2 linked regions of the Kluyveromyces lactis genome follow. The main gene of each other region encodes a partner of the protein of the gene in region 2 in a complex. Links are inferred from orthologs where the notes say so. Each region holds a gene or a part of one and is shown on either strand. Other genes may lie near its edges. The genes, in order: GID8 and FYV10.

Region 1 (3,204 bases), on a different chromosome or scaffold from region 2:
ACACTGATGACCCGCTAAGTGCCCGAATAACACTTTTTCTTGTGGTGATGGGAGGATTTGCTCTTGTGAATGAACTCTACATAACAATTCAAATGAGTGCCTTACAAATGGATACATGGGAACAATTGAACAGCACTAAATTGGACGAAGATTTTATTAGAAACCATCGATTCATACATGACGATTCGTACCATGCCACAGAATGGTTTGATGAAAAATCCGGTCTCATAATCGAGGAGTTCGAATCGAGGGAAAAGTTCTTTGCCAAACCTGTGCATGTCGCTCACATATACGTTAGATGCCAAGTTATCGACGAAGATACCAAAAAGCTTCTGTTGGATAATCCAATCACATTCCACATTGAATTCTCACCAGAAGAATTCGAAAATGAAAAAAGACCAGAGTTTGGTTGTACATTAAGGCTATTAAAATCAAAACTTTATCACTTCTTTAAAGATGGTCACTTTTATGATCAGTTCAAACAGCCAAGCAAAACCTTCACCATTACCAAAAATGTAAAAATCTACAACACCATGAGCGAGGAACTTCCAAAAAACCTCGACGATATTCAATTGTGTTTCTTAAAGATGGAAACTGGTGACACTATAGACTGTGAGTTTTTGGTGTGAAAATTGCAAGCTGCCGTTAAATGCTTGAAAACATAATGTGAATATAGGGAACCCATGCATATATAGTATAAAAGATTATAGATTTTGCACTAAATCACTCCTTCAACCCTCGGAACACCAACATCCGAACTATGCAATTGGTTTTCACACCAAACCCAAAGTTTCATGATTTGTACCAATCTAACGTCGTTAGGGATATAATAAGAATGCAAGTTCTCACCTAACTCTTCAAAGATTTCACCTTGTATGCGACTCATGTCGGAATTGGTGCTCATAGAACTTCCCTGCTTTTCTTCAATATGTGCTAGCTCTCCGGTAAGCCTTTCTGTCGTGATAGATTCCCTTGGAATGGATCGTATAACGTTTGTTAGAGTGGGAACTCGATTTGATTGGAAGCTGGATCCTAAGATGTCAGGTAAACCAGATTTTTCGAGTTGAGAGTTTATCCTCGGTAATATCGATTGCAAAAGCTTTCTGTTCACTAGATCAGCTACTTTAGTTCTCATATTTAAGGAATATAGCTGTTTCAACTTCTTTGGTAACTTAGCAGAAGGACTCGAACCATCCTCATCCGATAACGGGAAGAGAAGAAGGGTCATAACTAATTCGACTTCCTTCATATACTCTTTTTTGGAGCTTGCTTTCAAAGCAAGTTTATCCTGAGCATAAGAGATAAGCTCTAATATAAACTGCTCCTGATCGTTAGGGTCGCCCTTGGCGTTGTGGGAACGAATCATTTCAATAAGGTTCAACAACAATAGCTTGAAGTTCAAATCTTCATCTGTAATATGGTCATTCAAACTTTCGAGTACCTCTATTCCAAATACCTCGGTAATCTTTTCCATAGCTAGTAAAATTTCACCCTTCTTGATAAGTTCCTTGATGTATGCCCTTTTCTTAATCATATATACAGAGTTGAATTCTTCAATGTCTTTGTTGGAATTCAAAAACCCAAGCTCCTTAGCCATGCGGATACTAGATTCCTCATATGCCATCACCACAAAATAGTTCAATAATAACATTGGTATTACCGGCTCATTATTCGACAACTCACTGTTGCTGCGATCATAGGGATTGGCGTCCTGCACCACTTTCATCCATTGTTCTCTAGTGAAAGATTTCTTCTCATAGGTAGATTTAAAATTGGTCATCGTTTGTATGAAGCAATAAGTCTAGGGAAAACTAGATTGGCTTATGCTTAGCGCAAATAGTATAGTACCACTCTTTCTTTCAATATTAGGGGCTAAGGAAGTCTCACTTTCAACTTACAATTAGGTGCTCATTTTTTTGTTTTTCTGTTGATAATGCCCAGTTTCTTTACTAAGTGATGTTAAGGTTCATTTCGTGAAAAACCTTTGTGAATAAATAAGGGAACAGGCCTCTGACGACGAGGAAATGGGACAGATCAATTCTGAAAAGAAAAGGAGTTCATGTAGATATCAAATCGTGGTTTGTAGCTTCAGATAACAGTAATCGAGAAACTTCTCAATTTAAATCTTCTTGAATCTGGACTCTTTTTTTTGTATCTTTCAAGTAGAGGGAAACGATTCATGAGATGTCACTCATAGCAGCTATAGTCGACATTTTACGTAGTAATATACAAAACAGTAGACATATCGAGGGCATAACACAGATTTAAAAACTTTACAGTTTCAATATTCATTGGTTTAGGATCAATAATGAAATGGAGGAGGCAATCCAAGCCGTTTCTATATTCTAAATTGAAACTTACTTAGATTCTGATGACAAAAAAGTGTCAAATCAAATTAAGGAACTGAAATGATCTATACAAAAATGAAATGATATAAATATATGCGTACTTTTCCGAGTTCTTCGAACATCAAATAAGCCAGGTATTTAAGGCCAAGAGTAGATTCGAAACTAACAGAGAGGTAACTCGTTAGATTGCAATCTCATTATCATTCAATTGAAATAACAAAATAGAACCACAGAGCCAAACCAAATTTTTTTGCCAAGACACAGTCGATATCATTTTGAATAATATATTCGTTCAACATTGCTTATCACACATACACATAAATAGACATACGGCTAGTCAGTATAATTGTTATTATGACATTCATGGAAACTATGACAGCGTCGCTGGCACAAAAGGGGTCCCAAAGTCCCAAATCTGGTTCTATTTCATCATCTGCAACTCCTACATCGAGAACACCTCAATCATTATCCCAAAGTGTCAGCTACCATAGTGTTGCTTCCATCCCAAATCTATTGAACTACGACAGGCAGAACGATTCGAGTATTCGGACAAACAAGACGTCACAAACAAACATTACCGTTTCAACGACAGGAAATTTTCTTTCGTCGTCAAATTCGTCACCGCAAATTAGTCCTCGTCAAAGGGACTACCATTACGGTGGTCACTATAGAAGTGGATCCCTTGATTTTTTGGCTGACACTGCGATCGACCAGGATATGAATCAAGAAGAATTCAAACGGATTTTGAAAAGACTATCAGAGTACAATGAACAGTTGACATTTCATTTGCTGACATGGAGTTCCCAGAAGATTAAGGATGTTTTGGTCAATGATCTCACCCAACTTTCCAACGAAA
Region 2 (3,711 bases):
TCTTGGTTGGTGAGGGTGATTTTTCATTCGCGAAGAGCATTATTGAACAGCAATACATTCAACCAGAAAATCTTATTATAACCAGTTTTGACAGTGGAATCAAAGAGTTAAAGCTAAAGTATCCACATAGCTTCGAAGAAAACTACAATTTCCTTAAAGAGAATGAAGTCGTCATGCTGTTCGGGATCGATGCAACAAACTTAAAAAAATCTTTGAAGATCACGAAAAAGACTCCATGGCAGAAAGTAGTGGGGAATTCATGGACTACAAAGAAACTGGATTTCATCTTATTCAATTTTCCACATACAGGTCGTGGAATAAAAGATCAAGGCAGAAATATTCACGAACATCAACAATTGGTGTACAAATACTTTGATAGTTGTAAGCAGCTGTTCAGACTCGTAAACAGTAGCCAGATTATGTTAAACTCAAGCATTTCTATGGGTGGATACTCACTAAATAATGAAACTCGAGTTGATGATGAAGGTTATGGAAAAGTGGTTCTTTCTCTATTTAGTGGCGAACCATACGATTCATGGCAAATAAAAATACTAGCGAAAGATAACGGTTGGAAAGTGGATAGATCAGGGAAATTCGACTGGTCCAAGTTTCCAGGGTATCATCACAAGCGTACCAATAGTGAAATGGATACTACCAAACCAGCTGAGGAAAGAGATGCCAGAATGTACGTTTTCGAAATGTTCAATAAACGTAAACATTCCAAAAAACCTTTGAAAGACGACAGCGATGATGAATAAGAAAATACATATTCTCTATTATATCTAAGTAGGATACATTTTGATAAAGTCTGTTGTAGCATATATTGATTTATCAATAGGGTCCATCACTTGGTTTTCTTTAAGTTTAGTGTACCCCATTTTGTTTAGTTTTCGAGATAATGATATTAGCTTTTCAGAGTCGTAAATATTGCCATTTGGCAACATTACTGGATTTTCAAATAAACTCGATTGGATATGATGGGCAAATGGTAAGTTTTCAGATAGAGGGAATATGTCATGATTGCATACGGGACAATCTGTATTGACAACGTTAGATTTAATGTATTCATTTACTTCCGGATTTTCATGAGGGATTAGTTGCGCGGAAATGGTGTGACCACAATCCTTTGTTTTTAACGAAGAGATTCCTAAGGATATATATATTAATAGTGGATCGTGGTAAGATATTTTGTAGAGTGAGTAAAATTCATGTAGGAACATTTTATTCAAACTTTCCCATCTCTCGTGGTCCAATAATGGACCATATCGACATAATTCAGCATTGTGAACAACGTTACTAGAAGAAATTGATGACAACGGATGTGGTCGATACATTTGTTTTCTAAAATAGGCATGAAACAACTTTTGTTCGTTTGTTACTTCGTCGTCACGACCATTGTTGAGGCAGCTTTTGAAGAAAGCAAGAATACCCGCTGCCAGTTTTAGTTCTTTGGGATATATATTTGCGAAATGGGCAAGGTGTGTTTGGAAGCACCTGATTGCTGCTTTATAATCGGAACATCGTACTAATTCAATGTACTCCTGCAATAACGCTTGGAACTGTAAATGCGAACCTTTTTCTGTCAAGTGCGCAGAGTTATTTTCAATCCACTCTAATAGAGGACGAAGGTTTTTATTTTCTATAAGTTCCATAGATATCTGATTAGCTTCTATGAGAACTTCGTAATCAATCAAATCCTCTAATCCCCTAGTCTTTATAAACTCTATGCCAGAGTTTGATGCAATCTTGTTTTTATGATCTATAGAATTCGAACCATGCCTTACCAAATAATCGGCAATTAACAAATCCGTGTATGACCTGTACCATTTTAGAAGCTTGTCAGTGTTAGAATCATATTTGAATCTTTCAAACTGCTTGAAGTATTCTACTCTCTTCTCAATCCTTTCTAAAATTGTTAACTCATTATCATGTAGTTGCGATAGTCTCTTCTGCAAAATGTTCACTGTGTTGATTATATCATTCAATTTTTCTATTGATTGCTCATCCTTATTTGGATCTTCAAGTAAAGTGTTCAAAGTAGCGAATTGTCCCTGTAGCTCTACTGAATAGCTTGTATATAGGTTGTTGAATTTATCCCAGTTTCGCTTTAACAATTCGGAAGGAATGTTAAACTGCTGCTGGTTTAATTTTAGGTGAAAATCGACATTAGGTTCGTTTAACGAAGTCATAATGACATCTAAAGGCTTTTTGGTAGATTTACCGTCACCAGTATTACACTGATTGATCCAGTTTGTCAGTTATTTGGTTCATCCCTAAAGATTAAGGTATATTGTGAAAACCCCTTTCAATTTTCTTATGCAATTTGATGCAGAAATACAAAGATATAGTTACCATGAATGAAATACATCAACCGGTACGCTGGAAAAAAAAAATTGCTAAAGTCGAGTTGATGCAGTACCAACTGGAGGGTAGGAATATCAGGCGAAACATTACAGACGTTTGTTTATACACTGTTAGTGAAAAGATAAATACCAATGGCTAAGTGTTGCGCCTAAAGTTTAAGACCCAGAAAGCATCAAACAGACGAGGACAGAATATATTACATTTTAATAATTTTATTTAGAAAGCTCCTTGCTCATAATCTAGCCAAGAAAGAATGATTGGAACCATTGAATGATTTAACTGCGAGATGCTGAACTGGTCATACAAAAAGTGTGATATACACACAACTTACCATAATAATAAGACCGTACCAGACTAATGCCAGACTTCCATATCTGTGAGCTTTATCCCATCCTCCGATTCTCTCACCGTTCATCAAAGATTCAGTACCAATTAACTTCCACCCAAATAATCCTGGCAACGTGAATGAAATGGCTGTAGAACCAGTTGCACCAACAAGTGCAAGAACTAAAGCGAATGACTCAACGTTTAGCGCTAGAACGTATAGTACAGCAAGTAAGAAGAAAGTGACAGTCAAAAATCTGGAATCAGGGAATGGGACTGCTTCAGTGCGTTCATCAACCTGATCATCATTATCATCGTCGGTTGCCCTCGGTAGTGATTGGTACGTGTGGACAAATGAAGTGTCATGGGAGGAGCCTAGCTCTTGTTCGAGGTATTCTCTATCAGTATCATCCTCAATTTCCAGGGTAATAGGCCCTATCGTTTCATCTATTTCAGACTTTGTTCCATAGTTCAATTGTAACCAATGGACCATATTGTTCGCCGATATACGGCAAGGATGGAACAACAAGGGAAATGACAAAACAACCATCAGGCCAAGATTGAACCTAGCAAATCTGACAGAGAGCTTATCAGCATCATAGTTTAGTATGACATTTCCCAGAGTTTCTTTTCCGAAAGTCAAATATCCGAACAGCCCCAAGATTATGAAACAGGCGGATGATACTACGATGGAATTGTTTATGATCTTTTTGATATTTGTCATTGAATTTTCCTTCAATTCATTTATTATCGAAAATAGATTCATTGAACCAGTAAATGCAAATACAATAATACTAAATGTCGTCAAGACTCCAGATCTATCCGATATAGAGAACCAATCAACTTTGGGTTTTGGGTAATTTCCGAAGGAATAGCTTCCAATAATCAATAAACCAATGTAACCCAATGCCAACAGACCAATAACACTAGTATATTTCAAGCTATCAAAATGTCTTAATAAAGATAACGGAACGATAATGATTGCTGACAACAATATCCAGTTTGTCCTCGTGCCGCCAAATA

The links.
Region 1: the proteins of FYV10 (region 2) and GID8 are in contact, whole or in part, in a cryo-EM structure (PDB 7NS3), measured with the Saccharomyces cerevisiae proteins. The link is inferred for Kluyveromyces lactis from reciprocal best matches to the Saccharomyces cerevisiae genes FYV10 and GID8. Residues at the interface, in NP_012169.1 of Saccharomyces cerevisiae: Tyr243, Ile247, Phe250, Gln251, Phe262, Leu265, Lys266, Ser269, Gly270, Leu272, Ile273, Phe274, Lys276, Tyr277, Gln310, His314, Lys315, Ser316, Leu317, Pro318, Phe344, Arg346, Tyr347; in NP_013854.1 of Saccharomyces cerevisiae: Asn220, Leu224, Ile227, Ser230, Gln231, Ala235, Ala238, Ser239, Met245, Gln246, Leu248, Glu249, Leu250, Met252, Thr253, Leu256, Lys272, Leu274, Met357, Ala366, Asn367, Ser368, Val369, Trp370, Leu371.

Annotation. Positions count from the first base shown.
Region 1 is NC_006042.1:1,569,866-1,573,069, reverse strand, and holds GID8 (glucose-induced degradation complex subunit GID8), read right to left. Parts: upstream 1,781-3,204; coding exon 719-1,780; downstream 1-718. Other genes in the region: ERG29 (Erg29p), read left to right, coding at 1-629; GAT2 (Gat2p), read left to right, coding at 2,703-3,204. UniProt on the Saccharomyces cerevisiae protein: Component of the GID E3 ligase complex recruiting N termini and catalyzing ubiquitination of proteins targeted for degradation.
Region 2 is NC_006041.1:764,216-767,926, forward strand, and holds FYV10 (glucose-induced degradation complex subunit FYV10), read right to left. Parts: upstream 2,190-3,711; coding exon 783-2,189; downstream 1-782. Other genes in the region: BMT5 (25S rRNA (uracil2634-N3)-methyltransferase), read left to right, coding at 1-758; AVT7 (Avt7p), read right to left, coding at 2,663-3,711. UniProt on the Saccharomyces cerevisiae protein: Component of the GID E3 ligase complex recruiting N termini and catalyzing ubiquitination of proteins targeted for degradation.